Stegostoma tigrinum: one gene and its partners. The protein of the gene in region 3 purifies or fractionates together with the protein of the main gene of each other region. This does not show direct contact. Links are inferred from orthologs where the notes say so. Each region holds a gene or a part of one and is shown on either strand. Other genes may lie near its edges.

Region 1 (6,927 bases), on a different chromosome or scaffold from region 3:
TTTTAAGATCCCATCCTAGCATTTAGGGGAAAAAAAGGCATATCCAACTGACAGAGATAATGGGAACTGCAGATGCTGGAGAATTCCAAGATAATAAAATATGAGGCTAGATGAACACAGCAGGCCAAGCAGCATCTCAGGAGCACAAAAGCTGACGTTTCGGGCCTAGATCCTTCATCAGAGAGGGGGATGGGGAGAGGGAACTGGAATAAATAGGGAGAGAGGGGGAGGCGGACCGAAGATGGAGAGTAAAGAAGATAGGTGGAGAGAGTATAGGTGGGGAGGTAGGGAGGGGATAGGTCAGTCCAGGGAAGACGGACAGGTCAAGGAGGTGGGATGAGGTTAGTAGGTAGATGGGGGTGCGGCTTGGGGTGGGAGAAAGGGATGGGTGAGAGGAAGAACCAGTTAGGGAGGCAGAGACAGGTTGGACTGGTTTTGGGATGCAGTGGGTGGGGGGGAAGAGCTGGGCTGGTTGTGTGGTGCAGTGGGGGGAGGGGACGAACTGGGCTGGTTTAGGGATGCAGTAGGGGAAGGGGAGATTTTGAAACTGGTGAAGTCCACATTGATACCATATGGCTGCAGGGACGCCCTTGACCGCGTCTCCCGTATTTCCCGCAACACATCCCTCACACCCCGCCCCCGCCACAACCGCCCTAAGAGGATCCCTCTCGTTCTCACACACCACCCTACCAACCTCCGGATACAACGCATCATCCTCCGACACTTTCGCCATTTACAATCCGACCCCACCACCCAAGACATTTTTCCATCCCCACCCCTGTCTGCTTTCTGGAGAGACCACTCTCTCCGTGACTCCCTTGTTCGCTCCACACTGCCCTCCAACCCCACCACCCGCAGGAAATGCTACACTTGTCCCCACACCTCCTCCCTCACCCCTATCCCAGGCCCCAAGATGACATTCCACATGAAGCAGAGGTTCACCTGCACATCTGCCAATGTAGTATACTGCATCCACTGTACCCGGTGCGGCTTCCTCTACATTGGGGAAACCAAGCGGAGGCTTGGGAACCACTTTGCGGAACACCTCCGCTCAGTTCGCAACAAACAACTGCACCTCCCAGTCGCAAACCATTTCCACTCCCCCTCCCATTCTCTAGATGACATGTCCATCATGGGCCTCCTGCACTGCCACAACGATGCCACCCGAAGGTTGCAGGAACAGCAACTCTCATTCCGCCTGGGAACCCTGCAGCCATATGGTATCAATGTGGACTTCACCAGTTTCAAAATCTCCCCTTCCCCCCCTGCATCCCTAAACCAGCCCAGTTCGTCCCCTCCCCCCACTGCACCACACAACCAGCCCAGCTCTTCCCCCCCCGACCCACTGCATCCCAAAACCAGTCCAACCTGTCTCTGCCTCCCTAACCGGTTCTTCCTCTCACCCATCCCTTCCTCCCACCCCAAGCCGCACCCCCATCTACCTACTAACCTCATCCCACCTCCTTGACCTGTCCGTCTTCCCTGGACTGACCTATCCCCTCCCTACCTCCCCACCTATACTCTCTCCACCTATCTTCTTTACTCTCCATCTTCGGTCCGCCTCCCCCTCTCTCCCTATTTATTCCAGTTCCCTCTCCCCATCCCCCTCTCTGATGAAGGGTCTAGGCCTGAAACGTCAGCTTTTGTGCTCCTGAGATGCTGCTTGGCCTGCTGTGTTCATCCAGCCTCACATTTTAATATCCAACTGACACTCTACTACCAACACAGCCATTTTGCACACAGCAAGAGTCCATTAATAAAATGGACCACTGCTTAGCTATTGTTTGGCAGTGTACATCATGCAAGATAGGTTGACCAAGGTACCGTTCCATAACGTCACAGAAACTTTGACGTTTTAAAAACCAAGACAAGCACAAATGCCACTGATTAAAGTTATATGGAATAGCCTGACAGTCAAACACTCAGTACTGCAGTATCATCCTTGATTTAGGCTGTGCACTCAATGGTGTACATTAAACTGACACAAGCAAATAAGCAAAGACTTAGCTTTCTACAGGCATCCATTTTCACTGGGATATCCCTAGTTGATTAAGGATTACTGATTTTTTTCCTAGAAACGTTGGATAAATCATTTGTCTGGTAAAAACGTCTAATTATGCTGCACACAATCTTATAATTGGTTGATAAATCAGATAAACCTGTCCTTCCTAGAACATTCTTAGAAGTACATTTGCAAAAACAAGCCTTTCATTCCATTCATCACGAAAATCAGATGATTTCGGCCTTGCTAACAGTCAACGCTTCTACACTCAACTAGATTAGATGTAGCTGTACACATTGTAATCAGAAAAGGTTTTATTATCAAAGTCATCGAGAGCTGGTTACAACAGGGTGTGGAATATTAAGATATAACGGTGTTATAACACCAGAGGAAACGTGTAGTCTCGGGCCACAGACCAAGGATTTATTCTGAACCGACCTTGTCTCTCCGAGCTCACGCGGGGTGGGAATGGGGTTTAAAGTGAACCCAGCTCGCAGGAGCCCCCTCCCCGGGGAGGGGGAAACCCCAGGCGGGACCCGAACAGCATCTGCGCCACAGACCATACGGCGGCACCAAGACCGGGCCCACCCTCCTAGCGGCCTCCGCCACGTGTTCGGGCGGGGTGGACCGAAACGGGAGTCGCTAACCGGGGCCTCTCTTAGGCCGGAGCCGGGGCGGACGACGACAGGGCCCCCTCAGGCCCCGGAGCGCACACGCGACACAAACGCAACTGGAGGCGGTGGGCCCGGGCCGGACACGGTATTCCAGCCCGAGGCCGAGAGCCCGAACCTCCCTGTGGCTTAGCCCCGTTTTTACCCGCCCCCGGAACACCATGTCCCCGCAATTTACCCCCGGCATTCACTTGTTTATTTATTACCCCCCCCCCCCCGAGGTTTCTACCTGGCTCCGTACCTCTCGCTTTCTCCGCGCGCTCCAGCCCCGCTCTCTCTGATGGCGCTAAAGAACGAGCGGCGCCGCCGATTGGTTGGATATAACCTGCGGGGGCGCGCCCCGGGGACCGCCTTCTACGTGCGCGCCCCCAAACCACGCCGGCCGGTGCACGCACCCCCAAACTCCTCCCGCCACCGTTACGTCGTGGGACTTCGATGTTGTGGCCATTTCGGAGACATGGATAGAGCAGGAACAGGAATGGTTGTTGCAGGTTCCGGGATTTAGATGTTTCAGTAAGAACAGAGAAGATGGTAAAAGGGGCGGAGATGTGGCATTGTTGGTCAAGGACAGTATTACAGACGCAGAAAAGATGTTTGGGACTCGTCAACTGAGGTAGTATGGGCTGAGGTTAGAAACAGGAAAGGAGAGGTCACCCAGTTGGGAGTTTTCTATAGGCCTCCGAATAGTTCCAGAGATGTAGAGGAAAGGATAGCAAAGATGATTCTCGATAGGAGTGAGAGTGACAGGGTAGTTGTCATGGGGGACTTCAACTTTCCAAATATTGACTGGGAACACTATAGTTCGAGTACTATAGATGGGTCAGTTTTTGTCCAGTGTGTGCAGGAGGGCTTCCTGGCACAGTATGTAGACAGGCCAACAAGGGGCCAAGCCACATTAGATTTGGTACTGGGTAATGTGCCTGGCCAGGTGTTAGATTTGGAAGTAGGTGAGCACTTTGGTGATCACAATTCTGTTATGTTTACTTTAGTGATAGAAAGGGATAGGTGTATACCACTGTGCAAGAGTTATAGCTAGGGGAAAGGCAATTACGATGAGATTACGCAAGATTTAGGGAGCATAGGATGGGGAAGGAAACTGCAGGGGATGGGCACATTAGAAATGTGGAGCTTATTCAAGGAAAAGCTCCTGTGTGTCCTAGATAAGTATGTACCTGTCAGGCAGCGAGGAAGCTGTAGAGTGCGGGAGCATTGGTTTACGAAGGAGGTGGAATCTCTGGTCAAGAGGAAGAAGAAGGCTTATGTTAGGATGAAATGTGAAGGCTCAGTTAGGGCACTTGAGGGCTACGAGGTAGCCAGGAAAGACCTGAAGAGAGAGCTCAGAAGAGCCAGGAGGAGACATGAGAAGTTGTTGGCGGATAGGATCAGGGTAAACCCTAAGGCTTTCTATAGGTATTAAAGGAATAAAAGAATGACGAAAGTAAGATTAGGCCCAATCAAGGATAGTAGTGGTAAGTTGTGTGTGGAGTCAGATGAGATAGGGGAAGCGCTAAATGAATATTTTTCAACAGTATTCACTCTAGAAAATGACAATGTTGTCGAGGAGAATACTGAGATACAGGCTACGAGACTAGGTGGGATTGAGGTTCACAAGGAAGAGGTATTAGAAATCCTTCAGAGGGTGAAGATAGATAAGTCCCCTGGGCCGGATGGGATTTATCTTAGGATCCTCTGGGAAGCCAAGGCGGAGATTGCCGAGCCTTTGGCATTGATCTTTAACTTGTCATTGTCTACAGGAATAGTGCCAGACGACTGGAGGATAGCAAATGTGGTTCCCCTGTTCAAGAAGGGGAGTAGAGACAACCCTGGTAAATTATAGACCAGTGAGCCTTACCTCAGTTGTTGGTAAAGTGTTGGAAAAGGTTATAAGGGATAGGATTTATAATCACCTAGAAAAGAATAAATTGAGTAGGGATAGTCAGCACAGTTTTGTGAAGGGTAGGTCGTGCCTCACAAACCTTATTGAGTTCTTTGAGAAGGTGACCAAACAGGTAGATGAGAGTAAACCGGTTGATGTGGTGTATATGGATTTCAGCAAGGCGTTCGATAAGGTTCCCCACAATAGGCTACTGTACAAAATGCGGAGGAATGGAATTGTGGGAGATATAGCAGTTTGGATCGGAAATTGGCTTGCTGAAAAAAGACAGAGGGTGGTAGTTGATGGGAAATGTTCATCCTGGAGACCAGTTACTAGTGGTGTACCGCAAGGGTCGGTGTTGGGTCCACTGCTCTTTGTCATTTTTATAAATGACCTGGATGAGGGCGTAGAAGAGATAATGGGAACTGCAGATGCTGGAGAATCCCAGATAATAAAGTGTGAAGCTGGATGAACACAGCAGGCCAAGCAGCATCTCAGGAACACAAAAGCTGACGTTTCGGGCCTGGACCCTTCTTCAGAGAGGGTGTAGAAGGATGGGTTAGTAAATTTGCGGACGACACTAAGTTCGGTGGAGTTGTGGATAGTGACGAAGGATGCTGTAGGTTGCAGAGGGACAGAGATAAGCTGCAGAGCTGGGTTGAGAGGTGGCAAATGGAGTTTAATGCAGACATGAGGTGATGCACTTTGGGAGGAGTAACCGGAAGGCAAAGTACTGGGCTAATGGTAAGATTCTTAGTAGCGTAGATAAGCAGCAAGATTTTGGTTTCCATGTACACAGATCCTTGAAAGTTGCCAACCAGGTTGACAGGGCTGTTAAGAAGGCATACAGTGTTTTAGCTTTTATTAATAGAAGAATCGAGTTCCAGAACCAAGAGGTTATGGTGAAGCTGTACAAAACTCTGGTGCGGCCGCACTTGGAGTATTGTGTACAGTTCTGGTCACCGCATTATAAGAAGGATGTGGAAGCTTTGGAAAGGGTGCAGAGGAGATTTACTAGGATGTTGCCTGGTATGGAGGGAAGGTCTTACGAGGAAAGGCTGAGGGCCTTGAGGCTGTTTTCATTAGAGAGAAGAAGGTTGAGAGGTGACTTAATTGAAACATTTAAAATAATCAGAGGGTTAGATAGGGTGGAGAGGGAGAGCCTTTTTCCTAGGATGGTGACGGCGAGCACGAGGGGGCATAGCTTTAAATTGAGGGGTGAAAGATATAGGACAGATGTCAGAGGTAGTTTCTTTACTCAGAGAGTAGTAAGGGAATGGAACGCTTTGCCTGCAACGGTAGTAGATTCGCCAACTTCAGGTACATTTAAGTCGTCATTGGATAAGCATATGGACGTACATGGAATAGTGTTGGTTAGATGGGCTTGAGATCGGTATGACAGGTCGGCACAACATCGAGGGCCGAAGGGCCTGTACTGTGCTGTAATGTTCTATGCTCACTCTCCGTCTGATTGACAAACCGTGTCCCACCTTGCCTCACCCACTCCATCCCCCCTACACCCCTCCCTGGCACTCCCCCCACTCCCTTTCCCCACGGTCCCACCACTTCATCCCTCCCACTCCATTCCCCCCACACCCCTCCCTGGCACTCCTCCCACTCCTTTTCCCCACACTCCCACCACTTCATCCCTCCCACTGCATCCCCCTACACCCCTCCCTTGCTCTCCCCCCACTCCATCTCTCTCTGCTTTCCTTGCTCTCGCCTGACTTCGTCCCCGGCTTCGCCCCCAACCCGCTGTCCTCTTCCCTGTTCTCCCCCGCCTCATCCCACCCGCTTCCCCCCCCGCTGTCCCCCACTGCCCCCCCCCGCTCTCCCCCCTCTTCATCCCCCCACATCTTCACCCACTCCCCTCCCCTGCTTTCCCCCCAATCCGTCCCCCCCCACACTCTCCCTCTCCCACCCTGCTGACCCCTCCTCCCCACTCTCCACTCTGACCCCAGTTCCACCCCTGTCACCACCACCTCCTCCCTCACTCTGTCCTCCTCCAACCCATCCCCCCCACTTACCTCACTCCCCACGACTTCTTCCCCCGCCACACTCTCCCGCTTCCCCCCCACCCTACCCCCCTCCACAAATTCCTCCCCCTCCCCTCAGTCCCTCTCTGCCTCCTCTCCCACACTCAACCCCTCTCCCACACTTGCCCCCTCTCCCCCACAAAACACCCTCCCACTTAGCCCCTCCCCATCACCTGTTCTCCCTCCAAACACCACCTAAGCTGCCCCTCTCACAAATTCTGTCTAGACCCCCACTCTGTTCACCTTAATGTTCGTGGATTAGACAAGGTGGAATTTTTAAAGTGCATCCAGGAGAGTTTTTAGTGCCAGTGCATAGATAATCCTGCTAGAGGTGGGATAGTG
Region 2 (6,907 bases), on a different chromosome or scaffold from region 3:
ATTAACCATTTCCCCGGGCAGTTCACTCCAGGTTCTCATAAATATTTTCTGAACCCTCTCAAATTAATATCATTCGTTTTGCAGGGCAACCAGAACTAGACACAGTGCTCCAGAAGACACCTCACCATTAAATGTCTCCAAGAAGGAGTTAGATATAATTAGAGTCAAACAACACAGAAGCAGACTCTTCAGCCCAACTAATCCACACTGACCAGGTTTCCCCCAAGCTAAACTAGTCTCACGTGCCTGTGTTTGGCTCATGTCTCTCCAAACCGTTCCTATTCCTGTACTTACCCAAATGTCTTTTAAACGTTGTAACTGTGGCTGCACTCCGCATCCTCTGGAAGTTCATTCTACATACAAACCACTCTCTGTGTAAAAAAAATTGCCCCTCATGTCTTGTTTTCAATCTTTCTCCTCTCACCTTAAAAAATTCTGCCTGGTTTTGAAATTCCCCCAGTCTAGGGAAAAACTTTTCACCCTGTCCGTGCCTCTCATGATTTTATAAACCTCTGTAAGGTCAGCCCACAACCTCCTACACTCCAGAGGAAAAAAGGTCCCAGCCTCTCGCCATAACTTAAACCCTTCATTCCAAGCAACATCCCGGCAAATCTCTAGTAAAACTCGAAACGTTACCTCTGTTCTCTCTCCTTCCACCAGACTTGCTGGGTTTCTACAGCAAACTTCAGCTTTTGTTTTGGGTTTCCAGTATCTTAGAACATAGAACATAGAACAGTACAGCACAGAACAGGCCCTTCAGCCCACAATGTTGTGCCGACCATTGATCCTCATGTATGCACCCTCAAATTTCTGTGACCATATACATGTCCAGCAGTCTCTTAAATGACCCCAATGACCTTGCTTCCACAACTGCTGCTGGCAACGCATTCCATGCTCTCACAACTCTCTGCGTAAAGAACCTGCCTCTGACATCCCCTCTATACTTTCCACCAACCAGCCTAAAACTATGACCCCTCGTGCTAGCCATTTCTGCCCTGGGAAATAGTCTCTGGCTATCAACTCTATCTATGCCTCTCACTATCTTGTATACCTCAATTAGGTTCCCTCTCCTCCTCCTTTTCTCCAATGAAAAGAGACCGAGCTCAGTCAACCTCTCTTCATAAGATAAGCCCTCCAGTCCAGGCAGCATCCTGGTAAACCTCCTCTGAACCCTCCCCAAAGCATCCACATCCCTCCTACAATAGGGCGCCCAGAACCGGACGCAGCACTCCAAGTGCGGTCCAACCAAAGTTTTATAGAGCTGCAACAAGATCTCACGACTCTTAAACTCAATCCCCCTGTTATTAATGTCAACTTTCATTAAAATCCATCCAGGATCAAAAACTGCATTGATTTGGAAAATGTGCAAGACTAGGGATTAGATTACAATCACACCGTTTAATTTTCTAGGGTTTGGATCATCGTATTGCTGCTTCTAACACACTCCCTGGCATCTGGAGGGGTACATGAATTGGGAAGGTTTAGGAGGATACGGGCCAAATGTTGGCAGATGGGACTAGATTCATTTAGGATATCCGGTCAGCATGGACTGGTTGGGCCGAAGGATCTGTTTCCTGACTGTATGATCGTATATGACCATAAGACAGGAGCAGAAATTGGGCCATTCGGCTCATCAAGTCCACTCCGCCATTCAATCGTGGCTGATAAGTTCTTCAACAACATTCTCCCCGTAACCCTTGATAATCAAGAACCTATCTATCTCAGTATTAAATGTGCTCAATGGCTTGGCCTCCACAGCCTTCTGTGGCAGTGAATTCCATAGATTCACCACTCTCTGGCTGAAGAAGCTTCTCTCTTATCTCCGTTCTGACAGGTCTTCCCTTTACTCTAAGGCTGTGCCCTCAGGTCCTAGTCTCTCCTACAAATGAAAACATCTACACAACATCCACTCTGTCCAGGCCATTCATTATTATATAAGGTTCAATTAGAACCCCCTCATCCTCCTAAACTCCAACGGGTATTGTCCCAGAGTCCTCAAATGTTCCTTATATGTTAAGCTTTTCATTCCTGGGACCATTCTTCTGACCCTCCTCTCAACCCACTCCAGGGCCAGTACATCTTCCCCGAGATATTGGGCCCAAAACTGCACACAATACTCCAAATGTAGCCTGACCACAGCCTTATAAAGCCTCAGTAGTACATCCCTGCTTTTAAATTCAAGTTCTCTGAAAATAAATGCCAACATTGCATTAGCCTTGCTTACTACTGACTCAACCTGCAAGCTTACTTTGAGAGAACGGGACTAGATTAATTTAGCAAAGCAGGTCAGTACGGACAAGATGGGCTGAAGTGTCTGTTTCCACGCTTTGAAACCCCACATGTGACGAGATTAATTTAGGATAGGAGGTCAGCATGGACTGGTTGGGCTGAAGGGGCTAGTTCCACGCTGTATGACACTTTATGGGACTAGGTTAATTCACGATAGGGGATCAGCATGGGCTGGTTATGCCAAAGGGTCTGTTTCCTGACTGTATGGCTCTATTTCGGACTAGATTACTTTAGGATAGGCGGGTCAGCATGGACTGGTTGGGCCGAAAGGTCTATTTGAAGCATCTGAAAAAATCTCCCCAGTGCAGGTAAGTGGCACAGCGCTGATTGACAGCGGCGGCAGCCAATGATGACACAAGACATAGTAACCGATAGGAACTAAGCCCAATGGCGGCTGAGATGGGAGGCGTTTCCCGAAGTGGCCCCGCCCCCCAGACAGCAAGCTCGGTTGCGCCCGCTTGTCCCTTCCAAGATGGCGGCGGCCTCCCGCCACCTTGGGCGAGCTCTCCCTCTTCTTTTAAAGTCCCTCTTTCTCCTTCACCTCATGGAAACCCCCGTAGGTCGTCATGTAGAAGTCATCGTCCTCCTCGGCCTCCAGCAGCCGCGACATGCGGTTACCGGCATTTTTCCTCGACGGCCGGTTCTCCGCCAGGCTCATGGCGCCGCCGTCTCCTGCTTCTCCGTTCGAGCCGCTCGGAGTGCGCTCGGTCGCGCCTGCGCGTCTTCCTCCCACTGGTCCTCCAGGACGTGACGATCGATCCCGGAGAACGTCGATCGAGAAACACCACTTCCCTATTGGCTACTTATTTCAGTGAGGGGTTTGGGATGAATCAATGAGGGGTGATTTTAATTTTATTTAAGAAAATCCTTCCTCAGGTCCTGAGTTGCTTTTTGTGAAAGAATCCAGTTGTCCGCACTCAAACCTGTACAACCCTCGGTTGGCTATTCGACTGGATGAGGCATCACCCCCAGCACTCATCCCCACGTACATACTGCGCAATCATGTTCGTAAATGGGTAATTAATTCTTCCACCGTCCCCCTCCCAAACCAGACCAAGTCTTACACGTGACTCCAGACCCATTGGCAACGGTGGGGTCACCTCCCCTGAAACTGTGTGTGCCAGGCATCCAGCTCAAGGGGTAGTAAGTGACAAAAGAGATACCAGTAATGCCGCATTGTCCGAAAGGGTTAAATGAAGACAGACTAACATATCCACAAGGGCACTCACCAATTTTTACAGATGCACCATAGAAAGCATCCTGTCTGTAAACTGCTCTTCCCAAGATCACGAGAAATTACAGACAGTGGCCCAGCCCATCACACAAACCAGCCTCCCATCTGTTGACTCAGTCTACACTTCCCACTGCCCTTGGGAAAGCACCTAACATCATCAAAGACCCCCTCCCACCCAGTTATATTCCCTCCCATCCTCTACTGCCGAAAGAAGATACAAAAGTTTGAAAAGATATACCAACAGATTCAAGAGCTGCTTCTTCCCTGCTGATATCAGATTTATGAACCTCTCACATACTATAGTCCATCGCTGCCTGTCTCTGTGTGTCTCTGTATGTGTCCATTATTCTGTAAGTCTGTGTAAATGTCGGTGTGGTGTCTATATCTGTCTCCATCTGTTTCTGTGCCTCTGTACATCTGTGTATGTGTCTCTGTATGTCTTGGTGTCTCAGTATGTCTGTTTCTGTGTATATGCCTGTGTGTGTCTCAGTATGTCTGTTTCTGTGTGTCTGTCTCTGTGTGTATGTCTCTGTGTGTCTCTGTATGTCTGTCACTGTGTGTATGTCTGTGTGTGTCTCAGTATGTCTGTTTCTGTGTGTCTGTCTCTGTGTGTATGTCTGTGTGTGTCTCTGTATGCCTGTCACTGTGTGTATGTCTGTGTGTGTCTCTGTATGTCTGTCGCTGTCTGTATGTCTGTGTGTGTCTCTGTATGCCTGTCGCTGTGTGTGTCTTTGTATGCCTGTCGTTGTGTGTATGTCTCTGTGTGTCTGTATGTCTGTCGCTGTGTGTATGTCTGTGTGTGTCTCTGTATGCCTGTCGCTGTGTGTATGTCTCTGTGTGTCTCTGTATGTCTGTCGCTGTGTGTGTCTCTGTATGTCTGTCGCTGTGTGTATGTCTGTGTGTGTCTCTGTATGTCTGTCGCTGTCTGTATGTCTGTGTGTGTCTCTGTATGCCTGTCGCTGTGTGTGTCTTTGTATGCCTGTCGTTGTGTGTATGTCTCTGTGTGTCTGTATGTGTGTGTGTCTCTGTATGTCTGTCGCTGTGTGTATGTCTGTGTGTGTCTCTGTATGTCTGTTGCTGTGTGTCTGCCTCTGTGTGTCTGTCTGTGTGTATGTCTGTCTGTTATGACCTTGGGCAGAGCAGTTACTATCCGAAGCTGTGATGCATTGGACCAGATGCTTTCTACGAGAGAAAGCAGAGTTGGCATGTTTGGGTCCAGTGGCCCGTCTTTCGAATTTCCCAAGAGGCGCGAAACATTAACCCATCCACAGATACTGCCAGACCAGCTGATTTTTGCCAGTGATTTCCATGATTGCTTCTGATTTGCAGCATCTTTCCCTGAGGCGAATACGTGAGAGCAGGGGGCTGTGGAATTCCCTGCCGCAGAAAGCAAGAAGGAGCCAAAGTAGCAGTTAATGGCACAGTTATCTTTTTATTACCCTGTGCTGGAGTGGCTCAGTGGTTAGCGCAACAGCCTCACTGCGCCAAGGACCTGGGTTTGATCCCACCCTTGGGCGACTGTCTGTGTGGAGTTTGCACATTCTCCCCGTGTCTCTGTGAAGTTGCACGGTATTTTTTTCAGATTCTTATGTTCTTTCTAATTTACCTCAGTGTAACTATTTATTGTTCAGTCGAAAGGCCGTGTGAAATATGGCTATTGTGATTAGGCAGAATGTTTGCTCAGACAATCACCGCGGAAGGCTATTCGGCCCATCCAGTCCGCACCGACTCTGCAACCAGCATCCCACCTCTCCCCCTCTGGACGTGGACTGGACTTTTCCGATTGTGGGTCGGTCCTGAGCGAGGGGGCCACGGCGACATGACGGGGCGGAGACGAGGGCATCCGCTTCTGTCGGAGGCTTTGGACCTCACGGGGACGGGATTTCCTCTCAGGCCAGGAGTCGGAGGGATCATGGAATTCGCCGCAGTGACGATCGCCTCAAACCGCTGGGGCTCGAGGGGGCCAAATGGCCTGCTCCGAGTCAACACGCAGACGCTGGGGAACCGCAGGAGGTCGGGCGGCAGTGAGAGACATCAACGGTCTTTGACCCGAGAGCCACAGGACTCATGGCACACTTCAAAAACAACAGGGAGAGGTCAGTTCAACATCTGTCCTCCTTCTACAGTGGTAGGAGGTTTGCAAACCTGTTGTTGGTGAGCCCTGCCTTTGTGCAAACTGTTTTATGGTTTTACAGGGTTTCACCATCAGATTGCACTGATCAGGTGGATTGATGACTTCTGACCTCGGTCGTCAGGATCAGTTATCTCCGATAAACCAGTTATCGATTGATCAGAGCCCTCCCCCATACCCACGACATTGTTCAGAGAAATAATCCAGTCTCCAAGCGTGCATGCGGGATTATCGCGGGACTGTGGATCCGGGAGACGTTCCGGGGACCTGGATTCGAAGACCGCCCACGGCAGATGGTGGAATTTGAATCCAATAAAATATTTGGAATTCAGAATCTAACTGACGAAAGCACAAGGTAGGGGTGGAGGTGAGATACACCTTTGGGACAGGGTAAAAATACAGCACAGCCTTGTGGGCCGAAGGGCCTGTGCTGTTGTGTGTTATAATGATGAATCCCTTGTTGGAAAAACCCAACTGGTTCCTTCATGTCCTTTCGGGAAGGAAGCGACCATCCTGACCTGGTCTGGCCCAAATGTGTGATTCCAGACCCATAGCAATGTGGTTGATGGTTAATTGCACCCCCCCCCCCCAGGCCACCGGGCAATTAGGGATGGGGCAATAAATGCTGCCGTGCGAGCATCACCCTCATCCCGTGATGGGAGAGCGAACAAATTTTCTTCACCACCCAACCCCCCCCCCCGCAACAACAACACCATTGGTGACCCTCACACACATTTACAACCAGGGGAAAGCACAACGCTACCCAACCCCTTCAACACTCACCCTCCGACAGCGCCCGCTCCCTCAGCACTGACCCTCCGACAGCGCCCGCTCCCTCAGCACTGACCCTCCGACAGCGCCCCCTCCCTCAGCACTGACCCTCCGACAGTGCCCGCTCCCTCAGCACTGACCCTCCGACAGCGCCCGCTCCCTCAACACTGACCCTCCAACAGTGCCCGCTCCCTCTGCACTGACCCTCCGACAGCGCCCGCTCCCTCGGCACTGACCCTCTGACAGCGCCCACTCCCTCGGCACTGACCCTCTGACAGCGCCCGCTCCTTCAGCACTGACCCTCTGACAGCGCCCGCTCCCTTGGCGCTGACCCTCTGACGGTGCCCGCTCCCTCGGCGCTGACCTTCCGACGGTGCCCGCTCCCTCGGCGCTGACCCTCCGACTGCGCCCGCTCCCTCAGCACTGACCCTCTGACAGCGCCCGCTCCCTCGGCGCTGACCCTCTGACAGCGCCCGCTCCCT
Region 3 (7,807 bases):
ATAAAAGGATGTTAAATTTCGTCATTAATTATATATTTTTGGGAAGTATATTTTGTAAATTATTTTGACAGATTTAACTGAAAGGAAATCACTGTTGGATCATTACATTAGACAGTTAAATATACTGTGTGTTTTCATGACTTTGGCTGATAATATAGTGAATGCATGCACCTAGAGTGTAGTATAAAGTGGCTACAATTTTCACAGTGTCTGAAATTGCATATTTGTGCAGCATGTGCTTGTTTAATTTCCCCAAGAACTACACACATGCAAACAATTCTCACCAACCCCTTGCTCACCAAGAATCTGCATACTTTTGCCTTAATAATTAACGATGGGGAAAGAGGGGGCAGTGACAGAGTATGATCTTGTACATCCTTCCAGTATATTTATGGCAGGTAGTAAAGGGAGCAGGAGAGTCACCTGGTACAGATACAGATCAATGCCCTTCAAGCTAGCAACTTATTCATGGAGAAATAAACTAGCCCTTGAAGTAGGTATAAGCACATGCTTTGTCTGTCTTGTGTGCAAAGAAGATAAAATACTATAACTGGTTCTCCAGTTGTATCAGACCAACTGAAAATTTCCAATATTTTCTGTTTTGTAAAACTTAAAGCTCCCAAAGTGGGTTCAATCTTCTTGTGTTCGTTATGCGGTGAATTTTAGGGCATAGTTGCAGATGTACAAACAGGCCTTCATGCTGATTTGTCTGCTGTGGCGTAGTGGGTAGCATTCTCATTCTGTGTTTCGAGGTTGTGGGTTTAAGTCCCACACAAATGACTTGAATACAAAACTCCCGGTTGACACTCCATTGCAGTGCTGTGGTCATGCAGCATTGTCAGAGTCATTACTGAGGTGGTAACGCTGCTGCATCATTGCAGATGTCATCTTTCACATTAAATGTTTAAACCAAGTCCTGATCTGCCAGAATAAAAACCGAAAGAACTGCAGATGCCACCCTCTCGGATTGATGTGCGACTTTAACAGAAATCCCACTGAAGAAAATATTACCCGGTTGCAGCCTCATTTATTGTGTCTGGGATCTGTCTGTGCACAAAACGGCTGCCATGTTTGCTGTGTTCCAAAGGTGAATACTGATGAAAACACTTGGAAAAGTATTTTGCAGCTGTAAGGTGTTCTGATATTCTGAATTTGTGAAAGGCACTCTGAAATTGCAAGTCTGTTTTTCCAGTAACTGAGACAGGTTTAAAAATGCAGAAATCTTTCAACGCGTAATTTTCACAATCAATTTAAATTCATTTAATCATTATTTTTATGTTCTAATGATTGATTTCTCAATTTCTGACACTGATCAGTCTGTCAATTGTTCTCTTAAGATCCTAATGAAATATTTTGTAAAAATTTAATACAGTTTTTAATGCATTTTTATTCCCAATGTTCATTTGTCACCACAATTCTAACCAGCTTGGCTTTTCCCATTCCTACAGCTATTTATGCTTACACTCAACAGAAATAGTTTTCCATCCCGTGTAATATTTAAATCATTCAAAGGTATTTTCCAGAAGATATCAAAACTTAACATATAAAAACTTATCACGGGGCAAACGCGATAGGCAAATAAAATGCAACCAAAACCCCTGCAAATGATAAAAATGTGTCAAAACACAGAAAACTCTGGATGAACAGGCTAGTAAGCCTCTGTGCAAAGAAAACAGGTAATGTATTAATAAGGGGACTGTCCGATAATAGTGACACATCAATTCTACCAGTAATTAAGTTAACCTGAATAAGTCAGTGAATTTTGTACGGTGTGCAGAATTCAGTACATACTGGAATTTGTTGGTCAATTTTACAGGGATTGGTACTGGGTCCACTTTTGTTTGTCATTTATGCAAATAATTTTAGATAAGGATTTGGAAGGCACGGTTAGTAAGTTCACAGATGACACCAAAATTAGTGATATGACGGACAGTGAAGGTGGTTATTTAAGATTACAAAGAGATCTTGATCAATTAGGTCAATGGGTTGAGGTGTGACAGATGGAGTTTAATTTGGATAAATGCAAGGTATTGCATCTCGGTAAAACAAACAAGGGCTGGGACTTATTCAGCTAATGGTGGGGCCCTGGGTAGTGTTGCAGAACAGAGAGGTCTAGAGGTTCAAATACAGAACTCTTTGAAGTTTGCGTCACATGTAGATTACAGCTAATACAGTGAAAAGTTTCAACAGTTGCTTCAATCTGGTGACATTTTCAATCGTTTAAAAATAAAAAGGATGAAAAATATAACTGGAAGACAGTCATGCGTCACCATCCCTCCTCTGCTGCCATGTGTGTCAGACCCATCGATGTGGGAGTTGCCACTCTAAGTGCCATCTCTTTGGTGCTAGAACAACCTTGCCAGGCCACGTGCTGAATCCATACACGCACCCAGAACCAGGCTGGCTCTGCTGCTGTCTCAATGATGCCAGGAGTCCCAGCCTGAGGCATACCACACTGCTGCCGCTGCAGCCACCATCTTGCAAATGCCAAGAGTCCCTGCTCTGGGTATACTGCAACACGGAGACCCTGGCTCCACTCCTAGGCCATGGCCACCGTCTCACAAAGGGTCTGGCTCTGGCTGTCCTCCTGCAAGATATCACCTCGCTGGCACCATCACCTTAAAATCTGCTGCCACTGCTGCTTCCATTTGCTGGAGGAGCTTTGCTGCCACCGCCAGCCCTAAATACGGGAGGACGTCCCTGTTGCCACTGCAGCCACGGCCTCCAGTTGCTGTGAAGAACTGTGCCCACTGGCAGGAGCCACCACCAAACCACTGTCAAAGCTGCCACACTGATCTCGCTGACTAATCTGCTGCAAAAGGGCTCCAAAGAAAAATGAAAGTAAAAGAGCAGCAGTAAAAAGAAATAAAAGATGGAAAGCAGGCTGGAGCGGATCAACCCCGGGCAAGATCCCGCACACTGCCCTGCCACTCTGCTGTTATCTTCAATCTGTTGGACGTCATGTTGAGGTTGTACAGGACATTTGTAAGGTCTCATCTGGAGTACATGTTCTGGTCCAGTCGTCCTTCTACAAGAAGAACATTATCAAGCTGGACAGGATTCAGGAAAGATTTACCAGGATGTTGCAGACACAATAAATGGAGAGTTTTAGTTATAAGGAGAGGCTGGATAGACTGGGACTATTTTCCTTGGAGCATAGAAGGTTGACAGGTGACCTTGTAGAGGTTTATAAAATCATGAGGGCTATAGATAAAGGCGAATGGTAGGTGTCTTTTCCCCAGGGTGGGGGATTTCAAGACTAAGGAGCATATTTTTAAGCTAAGAGGATAAAGATTTAAAGACATGAGGGGCAACTTGCTTACACAGAAGTGGTTTGTATGTGGAATGAACTGCCAGAGGAAGGGGTGCATGCGGGTAAAATTACAATGTTCAAAAAACATTTTGATAAGTACACGAATAAGAAATGTTTGGAGGGATATGGGCCAAGCGCAGGCAGATGCGACTATTTTAGTTTAGGGTTATGGTCAGCATAGACTGGTTGGACCAAAGGGTCTATTCATATGACTGTGTGACCCTATTACTGGATGTATGTATCACACGTCGATGAGCACTACCCTGAATGATGGAAAGAACATGAAGTTCAAGCTGGAGCAAGGCATCTGTCTTCTAGATGAAAGGGGATGTAAAAGGTCTCATGGCACTATTTTGAAGAACAGGGGAGCTCTTCTCAATGTCTTGGGTCCAACATTTATCCCTTAATCAATATCACGAAAAGCACTCTCTGCTCCATTTACTGTGCTGTGGGAGCTTTACACTGTGTGCAGATTGTTTACCTTTTGTACTCTGACTGCATCTGCATTTCCAAAGCACTTTCTTGGCTCTTGAAGAGCTCCAAAGCACCAACAGTTGTGAAAGTTGCTGTTAAGAGTGCAAGTTATTTCATATATACACAAAATCTATCTTTGTGCATGTTTTGAGTTCTAGCTATGCGTCGACATTGAAATCATAGGTTTTCCCCCAATTTTGACATGTCTTGAAGATAGAATTTTGTTGCAAGCAATTTTTCAGCAAACTGTCTGGTGGCATTGTATGGTAGAAATAGAAACACTGTTGAAGAAACTTGGTACTGAGTCAGTTATGATTCTTCTTCAAAGAGTCACATCATTGTGGAATCATAACAGACCCGAAACTGTTTCTTTTGTGATAAGGTGCAGAGCTGGATGAACACAGCAAGCCAAGCAGCATCAGAGGAGCTGGAAGGCTGACATTTCGGGCCCAGGCCCTTCTTCAAAAGGTTTCTGCTGTGTTCTCTGAGATTAGAATAGGGCTAACCTTTCAAATCCGATAGCTTCAAAGATGAGTCAATATCGGACGCTAACGGTTGACTCTGTGTTTCTTTCTCTCCGCACAAATGCTGCCAAACACACGTGAGTTACTCCAGCGCTTTGCTATTCATATTTTCCTTTTGGCAGTTTATCAGCGGCTAAAACTTTTTTAAAAAGGTGTATTTTCTTCTGGGGAAGGGTCTCCGGACTGGAAATGTTAACTTTGCACTCATGCTGAGTTGCTCCGGCACTTTGTATCTTTTGTTTCACATGTGCAACAGCCACAGTTCATTGAGAAGCGCAATGTCTAAAATGCAACTCGGACAAAGTGCCCCGCGGCACCACGTGCACCGGGAAGGCGAGCACGGCGCGCGCGCACACCAACCTCCTGGGCCCTCACTGGCGGCGCGTACGTACGCGGATGGGTGCGCGCGCACGTACGTACGTACCTCCCGCCCTCCAACCCTCCGATTGGCCGCCGCTCGGTAGCCCGGAGCCCGGATGTGGGCAGGGGCCCGGCTATAAATAGGAGCGGCGCCGGGGCGGGAGCGCAGAGCGGTTTGAAAATCCGGGGCCGGAGGATACGAGGCGGTGATGGTGAGGAGGCAAACAAAATGTTGTCTAATTTTAATTTGTGAAAATAAGCGACAGATCCGCGGTCGCAGACAGGGGTTTGGGGGGGGGGAAAAAAACATCTCGACCACAGGACGCAAACCGGTTTTATTTTTTTTTACCTCTTGTTGCTATTCTCTGATAGGCTGGCGGTAAAGCGGGTAAAGACTCCGGCAAGGCGAAGACCAAAGCGGTTTCCCGCTCACAACGAGCAGGCCTCCAGGTCAGTGCGGTTTCCCCGCGTCCATTACCGCCGCCTCCCTCCCACTGACTGACTGCAGTAGGGTCCAGCCTCGCACGGGCGGCGCGAGAGGAGGGAGTGCGGGCGGGCGCTTCTCTCAATGTTTTAGAACACGCCCCTCCCCCTTCTCCCTCCGGGAACCGGCTGCGGCCGGAAATGTCTTCCCTTCCCTCCCCTCCCCCCCCCCCCCCCCCCAACATATAAATATAGCGTTTCACGTCGCGGACGTTTGCTTTTTGTTTTCTGCCGGCCGTCTTTTCGTTTCCCCCCCCTTCTAAATCTATTTATTTTTACAGTTCCCAGTCGGTCGCATCCACCGACACCTGAAGTCCAGGACCACCAGCCACGGGCGGGTGGGCGCCACGGCAGCGGTTTATAGCGCGGCCATTCTGGAGTATCTGACGGCCGAGGTGAGTGTGTGGGGGGTGGGGAGCGCGTTACAGGCCGCGGCTCCATGACCAGCAGGTCCGTCACCGGATATGTTCCGTGTTGCCGGCTGGTAGGGTTCGAGGCGACTGTGTTCCGGCTTTATTTGGAGTCGGCCTTGCCGAATGGTCGGAGTGAAAGGTTCCGGTCTTATTACTTCCCTTATCGGGGGAAGGGTCATCGGACCTGAAACATTAACTCTGATTTCTCTTAAAGGTTGCTGCCAGACTTGCTGAGCTTTTCTCAGCAGTTTGTTTTTGTTTGATTTACAGCGTCCGCAATTTTTGGTCATGATTTCCTTCACTGTTCAGGTTTAATAATTAAATCTTCAGTCGTGTCTACTTGGGATCCTTCTGCAATCTCCTGTTCAGTCGAGCTGCATGTGGTTGCTTTGATTTTTGGAAATGGTTTCCCTACCCCTGACAAGTGATATTTGATATTGTATTTGATAATAGTTGAACTGCATTTCAAACCTTGGATTGTTACTCCCTTTTTAAAATTCATGATTCTTGTGTTGAAGTTCCCCCCCACCCTTGGTCTCTAATGCCTAACAACAACTAGTCTGTTTTAAGTTTTCAAGATAAAATGTGGGGCTGGATGAACACAGCAGGCCAAGCAGCATCTCAGGAGCACAAAAGCTCCTGAGATGCTGCTTGGTCTGCTGTGTTCATCCAGCCCCACATTTTATTATCTTGGATTCTCCAGCATCTGCAGTTCCTATTATCTGTTTTAAGTTTTCACTTGACTTTCCCTCAGAGGGGGGAACATTGAGGACTCCAAAGCATTAACTGATTTCTTTCTTTCCTGATGTTGCCATGCAGGCAAGTTTCTCCACAATTTTATTATTTTTATCTCCCTACACTTACAATACAAAGCATAACATTCACAATATCCTTCACTTGATTGCAGTAAATTTATATTAATACTTGATCTCTGGACTCAATTTTTAAAATTTGTTTGTTAAACAGCAGTGCTGTTTTTAATACCTTACCTGTTTTGTCAGGTACTAGAGCTTGCAGGAAATGCATCCAAAGACTTGAAGGTAAAACGCATTACCCCTCGCCACTTGCAACTTGCCATTCGTGGGGATGAAGAGTTGGATTCCTTAATCAAGGCTACCATTGCTGGTGGTGGTGAGTTAACATTTTAATTCAATAAACACTCAACTGTTAGAATTTTCTCTTCCCACAAAATATTGTTCTTCTGTGCTGTGGTGTCTTCCCTGCTGATTTATCTTTTTGTTTTCAGGAGTCATTCCTCACATTCACAAATCCCTGATTGGCAAAAAAGGACAACAGAAGACTGTTTGATGGTGGAAACTTCCTTTTTGGTTCACTAGTCTCAGGACTCCATCTCCAAATAATCAGCTGTAGAATGTTGGAGGATCTGACTGGAAAGACACTGGACTTCTGAAATGTGATTACATAGACATTTTTATCTCAATAGTATTCAGGGGAGGGGTCTTTTAAAAAGTAAAGCTCAATAATCAAACTTCCATGTGCACTAGTCTGGGAAAGCCAAATCTGGGACCATATCCTCCAAGGTGGGACTGTACCTGGGTGACCTGGAGTTGTTTCCTGGTTACTGCCTTTTCATAGCATCTCTGTTGCAGTATTTTAAATGCAGGAAGAGCTCACTGCTTGTATGACTTTTATTTTTGAAGTGGATTTAAATCCAGATGGTTTGTTCTGACTGTTTGTTCTGTCTATTGGTGTATGAAGTTTTCAATAAAATGTATTAAATGGCTGTGTGACTTGTCTTTTTAATTTGGGAATGCAAAGATCCCTAGCTAACCATTGAAGATAGTTTGTCCAGCATTAAAAAGCTCTGTCTAATGGCATTGATCACGTAACAGCTGCCAAGTGTTTCTTAATATACCACTGCATTTTGCAATTTCCTTGGTGTGAAACTTTTTGAAAGGTTTAATTCTGATGCTTTGACCTGTTTCTTTGCCTTTTTTCCAATAAACTGCAACAATATATGGTCCCCATCAAACAGCTTGTGCTATTTTGCTGCAAACAAATCCTGGCCAAAGATCTCATCCTGTTATACTTATTAGCAAGGCTATAACAGGATAATTTGCTTTGTACAGTGAGGTCAGTATTTAACTCGGTCACTGAACTGTAGAAATTCAAGTGTGGGTGCATTTATTCATGGGAATAACTTTAATAAGCTGAAATGTGGCTGGATTAAGATGTAAACAAAGTTTGTCATCAAGCTTTTACCAGATGGTGAACAGTTG
Region 4 (6,843 bases), on a different chromosome or scaffold from region 3:
CAGCATCCTGAAAGGCCAAAGGTTTTAACATTTCCCACTCTTCCTGGTTCTTTCCTCTGAAACTTTCTTCTTTGCTGCTGGATCAAATTAACTTCAAAGCATATTTGAATACAGAATTGTACTGATCAGATAAAGTGGAAAGACTCATTTCTGCCTGGTAGCCTATGGCCAGAGCAAAGTGAACTAAGGATCAATTCTCTTCATTTTTATATTTTTGTTAAGGGACAACAGTTGAATAAACTCTGAAGCTTTGCCGACATCCACGTGTCTAGCTGTTATCCTTGCAGATGAGTTGCTTCTTTAAGAGCCTCTCTGCCTACTGTATTAGTTTAGGTATGTCTTCAGCTCCCCAAGCACTAACTAAAGAGCAGTTTTCAAGTTTCCCCAGCGTAGGGGAGTCCAAAACTAGAGGGCATAGATTTAATATGAGAGGAACGATTTAAAAGGGACTCGAGGGGCAACTTTTTCACACAGAGGGTGGTGTGTAAATGGAACAAGCTGCCAGAGGAAGTGGTAAAAGTATGTACAATTACAACATTTTAAAGACATTTGAACAGGTGTTTGGATAAGAAATGTTTAGAGGGATGTAGACCAAATGCAGGTAAATGGGACTAGTTTAATTTAGAAAACCTGATCGGAAATTGGCTGGCTGAAAGAAGACAGAGGGGTGGTAGTTGATGGGAAATGTTCATCCTGGAGAGCAGTTACTAGTGGTGTACTGGAAGGGTCGGTGTTGAGTCTACTGGTGTTTGTCATATTTATAAATGACCTGGATGAGGGCATAGAAGGATGGGTTAGTAAATTTTGCAGACGACACTAAGGTCGGTGGAGTTGTGGATAGTGACGAAGGATGCTGTAGGTTGCAGAGAGACATGGATAAGCTGCAGAGCTGGGCTGAGAGGTGACAAATGGAGTTTAATGCAGACAAGTGTGGGGGGGGGAGGGGGGGAGTGTGTGGGGGGGGGGGAGTGTGTGGGGGGGGGGAGTGTGTGGGGGGGGGGGAGAGTGTGTGGGGGGGGGGGAGTGTGTGGGGGGGGGGGGGGGAGTGTGTGGGGGGGGGGAGTGTGTGGGGGGGGGGAGTGTGGGGGGGGGGAGTGTGTGGGGGGGGGGGGAGTGTGTGGGGGGGGGGGAGTGTGTGTGGGGGGGGGAGTGTGTGTGGGGGGGGAGTGTGTGTGGGGGGGGGAGTGTGTGTGGGGGGGGAGTGTGTGTGGGGGGGGGAGTGTGTGTGGGGGGGGAGTGTGTGTGGGGGGGGGGAGTGTGTGGGGGGAGTGTGGGGGGGGGGGAGTGTGGGGGGAGTGTGGGGGGGGGGAGTGTGGGGGGGGGAGTGTGGGGGGGGGAGGGAGTGTGGGGGGGGAGGGAGTGTGGGGGGGGAGTGTGGGGGGGGGGGGAGTGTGGGGGGGGGGGGAGTGTGGGGGGGGGGGAGTGTGGGGGGGGGGGGGAGTGTGGGGGGGGGAGTGTGGGGGGGGGAGTGTGGGGGGGGGGAGTGTGGGGGGGGGGGAGTGTGTGGGGGGGGGAGCGTGTGTGGGGGGGGGAGCGTGTGGGGGGGGGGAGTGCGTGGGGGGGGAGTGCGTGGGGGGGGGAGTGCGTGGGGGTGGGAGTGCGTGGGGGGGGAGTGCGTGGGGGGGGAGTGCGTGGGGGGGGGGGAGTGCGTGGGGGGGGGGTGCGTGGGGGGGGGGGTGTGCGTGGGGGGGGGGGAGTGCGTGCGGGGGGGGTGCGTGCGGGGGGGGGAAGTGTGTGGGGGGGGGAAGTGTGTGGGGGGGGGTGTGCGTGCGTGGGGGGGGGAGAGTGCGTGCGTGCGGGGGGGGGGGGGGGAGTGTGCGTGCGTGCGGGGGGGGAGTGTGTGCCTGCAGGGAGGGGGCGGGAGAGAGTGCATGCGTGTGGGGGGGGGGTGTGGGGGGGGGAGGGTGTGGGGGGAGTGTGTGGGGGGGGAGGGAGTGTGTGGGGGGGGAGTGTGTGGGGGGGGAGGGAGTGTGTGGGGGGGGAGAAGAGTGTGTGGGGGGGGAGAGTGTGTGGGGGGGGAGAGAGTGTGTGGGGGGGGGGAGAGTGTGTGGGGGGGGGAGAGTGTGTGGGGGGGGAGAGTGTGTGGGGGGGGAGAGTGTGTGGGGGGGGGAGTGTGTGGGGGGGGGAGGGTGTGGGGGGGGGAGGGTGTGGGGGGGGGGGAGAGGGGTGTGGGGGGGGGGGAGGGTGTGGGGGGGGGGAGGGTGTGGGGGGGAGTGTGTGGGGGGGGAGGGAGTGTGTGGGGGGGGAGGGAGTGTGTGGGGGGGGAGGGATGTGTGGGGGGGGGGGAGTGTGTGGGGGGGAGGGAGTGTGTGGGGGGGGGAAGAGTGTGTGGGGGGGGGAAGAGTGTGTGGGGGGGGAGAGTGTGTGGGGGGGGGAGAGTGTGTGGGGGGGGGAGAGTGTGTGGGGGGGGAGAGTGTGTGGGGGGGGGAGTGTGTGGGGGGGGGGAGTGTGTGGGGGGGGGGGGAGTGTGTGGGGGGGAGTGTGCGTGTGGCGGGGGAGTGTGCGTGTGGCGGGGGGGGGAGTGTGCGTGTGGGGGGGGGGAGTGTGTGCGGGGGGGGAGTGTGTGGGGGGGGGGGAGTGTGTGGGGGGGGGGGGAGTGTGTGCGGGGGGGGAGTGTGTGCGGGGGGGGGGAGGGAGTGTGTGCGGGGGGGGGAGGGATGGGAGTGTGCGCGGTGGGGGGGGGGGGAGGGGAGTGTGAGGGGAATTTGGGGGCCGGTGGGGACGGGGACGGTAAGAGCCCGGGCACCAGGATCTCGAACATTCTGCAGCCGCGCAGCTCCCTCCGCCGGGAATCTCTGCCCGTTCTAACGGGGGCCCGCTCCCGCTTGGATAACAACGGAATGCTCTCCCCTACCCCGGGGGGGTGGTGAGGGCTCTCCCCCGAGGATCTGTCTCGCCGTCCCCCGGTCCCCGCTCACCGTTGCCATGCTGCTGCCGCCACCGGTTTCCAACCACCGACAACACTTCCGGCTGTACCACCCGCCCAGCTCCGACGAGGAAACAAAAGCGCCGAAACTAGGTTCCGCTCCAGTCCTTCCTTCCTCCGCCAAACCCAAGTTCATCACTATCAACAACAACAGCTTGTACATACCATACTCTAGCGCCTATTACGCAATGAAACCTCCCAAAGCGTTTTTCAGGATCATTATCGAATGAAGTCTGACTATGAATAAAAGCTTGATCGTGGGTTTTAAGATCCATAAGGAGGTGATTAAGCCAGATATAATGGAGACAGTAAGAGACTTCCAGAGTTTTGGAATCCATTAGCAGCTGAATGTACAGTTCCCAGTAGTGGAGCAATTGTTGGTGGGAATCAAAAGAGGCCAGAAATAAAAGACGGGGGTTACTCAATTCGAGGTTTGTGAGGCTGAAGGGAATTACCAAGATAAGTTATCCTAATTTCCAAAACATTTGATGGCTGGGTTTTCATAGACCCACTACAGTGCAGAAAGAGGCCATTTGGCTCATTGAGTCTGCACCAATCCTTTGAAGAACATCCCACCCATCCTATCCCCATAAACCTGCATGGCCATTTCACCTAGCCAGCACACCTCTGAACTGTGGGAGGAAACCAGACCACCAGGCAGAAGCAGGGAGGACATGCAAACTCCACATAGACAATTGCCTGAGACTTGAATCTAAGTGCCTGGTACTGTGAGGAAGCAGTGCTTGCTACTAAGCCACCTGGGGATTCATTATATTTCAGTAGCATGGTAGACTTAACTGGTAATATCTAAGAGAGGCATTTGGGTTTAAGAAAGAATGAGGCTACAGTTTATGGAAGTAATGGCTGATCTATAGTTCAACTTCCTATAATAACATAATAAAAAGGAATAAGTGAGCTGACTTCACCATTGACAGCAATTCCACTTACCAATCCCAAACCAATTTAAGGTGTAAAAATATATCGATGTCTGTCTTGGAATATATATTTCTATAGTGCATAATATCATTTTGATAAGGTTGGTTCTTCTGAAGCAGAACCCCTGACATGAGCCAGTTATGTTGAGTGCCTGTTTTGGTACTGTGAGCTCAATTGTAAGATAATTTCACATGAAGAAGATTTTGTTTTATTCATTCATGAAATGCATTAATCACTGGCTAGGTCAACATTTATTGCCCATCCCTAATTGCCCAGAGTCAACCATATTACTGTGTTGTCTGAGTCACGCGTAGGCCAGACGAGGTAAAGATGGCAGTTTCCTCCCCTAAAGGACTTTACTGAACCAGATGGGTTTTTCCTGGCTATCAACAATGGATTCAGGGTCATCTTTAGACTCCTGATTTTGGATATTTATTGAATTCAAATTCCATCATCTGCCTTAGGAAGCCTTAAAACCAGCTTTGAATTTTACCAGGGTCTCTGGACTAAGACTCCAGTGACAATTGCCACTGGACCCAGTCCCAGTGCGGAGCGCGGTGACAGAGGCCCAGTCCCAGTGAGGGGGGTGGTGGCAGTGACCCAGTCTCAGTGAGGAGGGGGGTGGCAGTGACCCAGTCCCAGTGAGGAGGGGGGTGGCAGTGACCCAGTCTCAGTGCGGAGGGGGGTGGCAGTGACCCAGTCTCAGTGCGGAGGGGGGTGGCAGTGACCCAGTCTCAGGGTGGAGGGTGATGACAGTGATCCATTTCCAGTTGGAGCGTGGTGGCAGTGACCCAGTCCCAGTGTGGAGCCCGGTGGCAGTGACCCAGTCCCAGTGTGGAGGGTGATGACAGTGACCCAGTCCCAGTGTGGAGGGTGATGACAGTGACCCAGTCCCAGTGTGGAGCTCGGTGGCAGTGACCCAGTCCCAGTGAGGAGGGCGGTAGCAGTGACCCAGTCCCAGTGTGGAGCCCGGTGGCAGTGACCCAGTCCCAGTGTGGAGGGTGATGACAGTGACCCAGTCCCAGTGTGGAGGGTGATGACAGTGACCCAGTCCCAGTGTGGAGCCCGGTGGCAGTGACCCAGTCCCAGTGTGGAGCTCGGTGGCAGTGACCCAGTCCCAGTGAGGAGGGCGGTGGCAGTGACCCAGTCCCAGTGTGGAGCTCGGTGGCAGTGACCCAGTCCCAGTGAGGAGGGCGGTGGCAGTGACCCAGTCCCAGTGTGGAGCTCGGTGGCAGTGACCCAGTCCCAGTGAGGAGGGCGGTGGCAGTGACCCAGTCCCAGTGTGGAACCTGGTGGCTGTGACCTAGTCACAGTGCGGAGGGCGGTGGCAGTGACCCAGTCCCAGTGCGGAGGGCGGTGGCAGTGACCCAGTCCCAGTGAGGAGGGCGGTGGCAGTGACCCAGTCCCAGTGTGGAGCCCGGTGGCAGTGACCCAGTCCCAGTGAGGAGGGCGGTGGCAGTGACCCAGTCCCAGTGTGGAGGTCGGTGGCAGTGACCCAGTCCCAGTGTGGAGGTCGGTGGCAGTGACCCAGTCCCAGTGAGGAGGGCGGTGGCAGTGACCCAGTCCCAGTGTGGAGGGCGGTGGCAGTGACCCAGTCCCAGTGTGGAGGTCGGTGGCTGTGACCTAGTCCCAGTGTGGAGCGCGGTGGCAGTGACCCAGTCCCAGTGTGGAGGTCGGTGGCTGTGACCTAGTCCCAGTGTGGAGCGCGGTGGCAGTGACCCAGTCCCAGTGAGGAGGGCGGTGGCAGTGACCCAGTCCCAGTGAGGAGGGTGATGACAGTGACCCAGTCCCAGTGCAGAGCACGGTAGCAGTGTCCCAGTCCCAGTGTGACACATGGCGGTAGTGACCCAGTCCCAGTGTGGAGCCCGATAGCAGTGACCCAGTCCCAGTGTGGAGCCCGGTGGCAGTGACCCAGCCCCAGTGTGGAGCCCGGTGGCAGTGACCCAGTCCCAGTGAGGAGCCAGGTAGCAGTGACCCAGTCCCAGTGTGGAGACAGGTAGCAGTGACCCAGTCCCAGTGTGGAGCCCGGTAGCAGTGACCCAGTCCCAGTGTGGAGCTCGGTGGCAGTGACCCAGTCCCAGTGTGGAGCCCGGTGGCAGTGACCCAGTCCCAGTGTGGAGCCCGGTGGCAGTGACCCAGTCCCAGTGTGGAGCCAGGTAGCAGTGACCCAGTCCCAGTGTGGAGCCCGGTGGCAGTGACCCAGCCCCAGTGTGGAGCCCGGTGGCAGTGACCCAGTCCCAGTGAGGAGCCAGGTAGCAGTGACCCAGTCCCAGTGTGGAGACAGGTAGCAGTGACCCAGTCCCAGTGTGGAGCCCGGTAGCAGTGACCCAGTCCCAGTGTGGAGCTCGGTGGCAGTGACCCAGTCCCAGTGTGGAGCCCGGTGGCAGTGACCCAGTCCCAGTGTGGAGCCCGGTGGCAGTGACCCAGTCCCAGTGTGGAGCCAGGTAGCAGTGACCCAGTCCCAGTGTGGAGACAGGTAGCAGTGACCCAGTCCCAGTGTGGAGCCAGGTAGCAGTGACCCAGTCCCAGTGTGGAGCCCGGTGGCAGTGACCCAGTCCCAGTGTGGAGACAGGTAGCAGTGACCCAGTCCCAGTGTGGAGCCCGGTGGCAGTGACCCAGTCCCAGTGTGGAGCCAGGTAGCAGTGACCCAGTCCCAGTGTGGAGCCCGGTGGCAGTGACCCAGTCCCAGTGTGGAGCCCGGTGGCAATGGCCCAGTCCCAGTGTGGAGCCCGGTGGCAGTGACCCAGTCCCAGTGTGGAGCCAGGTAGCAGTGACCCAGTCCCAGTGTGGAGCCCGGTGGCAGTGACCCAGTCCCAGTGTGGAGCCCGGTAGCAGTGACCCAGTCCCAGTGTGGAGCCCGGTGGCAGTGACCCAGTCCCAGTGTGGAGCCCGGTGGCAGTGACCCAGTCCCAGTGTGGAGCCCGGTGGCAATGGCCCAGTCCCAGTGTGGAGCGCGGCAGCAGCTGGTGGTCAGACCGTGT

Evidence for each region.
Region 1: the proteins of histone H2A.Z (region 3) and nap1l1 purify together in Homo sapiens (affinity purification with mass spectrometry; 3 studies listed by BioGRID and IntAct, with this or other methods). This does not show direct contact. The link is inferred for Stegostoma tigrinum from reciprocal best matches to the Homo sapiens genes H2AZ1 and NAP1L1.
Region 2: the proteins of histone H2A.Z (region 3) and vps72b purify together in Homo sapiens (affinity purification with mass spectrometry; 4 studies listed by BioGRID and IntAct, with this or other methods). This does not show direct contact. The link is inferred for Stegostoma tigrinum from reciprocal best matches to the Homo sapiens genes H2AZ1 and VPS72.
Region 4: the proteins of histone H2A.Z (region 3) and ruvbl2 purify together in Homo sapiens (affinity purification with mass spectrometry; 6 studies listed by BioGRID and IntAct, with this or other methods). This does not show direct contact. The link is inferred for Stegostoma tigrinum from reciprocal best matches to the Homo sapiens genes H2AZ1 and RUVBL2.

Annotation. Positions count from the first base shown.
Region 1 is NC_081371.1:63,287,986-63,294,912, reverse strand, and holds the start of nap1l1 (nucleosome assembly protein 1-like 1), read right to left. Parts: upstream 3,015-6,927; 5' UTR 2,915-3,014; exon of another isoform or gene 2,903-2,914; intron 1-2,902. UniProt on the Homo sapiens protein: Histone chaperone that plays a role in the nuclear import of H2A-H2B and nucleosome assembly.
Region 2 is NC_081400.1:5,038,832-5,045,738, forward strand, and holds the start of vps72b (vacuolar protein sorting-associated protein 72 homolog), read right to left. Parts: upstream 3,003-6,907; 5' UTR 2,948-3,002; coding exon 2,831-2,947; intron 1-2,830. UniProt on the Homo sapiens protein: Deposition-and-exchange histone chaperone specific for H2AZ1, specifically chaperones H2AZ1 and deposits it into nucleosomes.
Region 3 is NC_081354.1:4,079,889-4,087,695, forward strand, and holds histone H2A.Z, read left to right. Parts: upstream 1-4,784; 5' UTR 4,785-4,880; coding exon 4,881-4,883; intron 4,884-5,043; coding exon 5,044-5,121; intron 5,122-5,435; coding exon 5,436-5,549; intron 5,550-6,568; coding exon 6,569-6,698; intron 6,699-6,813; coding exon 6,814-6,875; 3' UTR 6,876-7,311; downstream 7,312-7,807. UniProt on the Homo sapiens protein: Variant histone H2A which replaces conventional H2A in a subset of nucleosomes. Nucleosomes wrap and compact DNA into chromatin, limiting DNA accessibility to the cellular machineries which require DNA as a template.
Region 4 is NC_081391.1:18,535,711-18,542,553, reverse strand, and holds the start of ruvbl2 (ruvB-like 2), read right to left. Parts: upstream 3,011-6,843; 5' UTR 2,928-3,010; coding exon 2,919-2,927; intron 1-2,918. UniProt on the Homo sapiens protein: Possesses single-stranded DNA-stimulated ATPase and ATP-dependent DNA helicase (5' to 3') activity; hexamerization is thought to be critical for ATP hydrolysis and adjacent subunits in the ring-like structure contribute to the ATPase activity.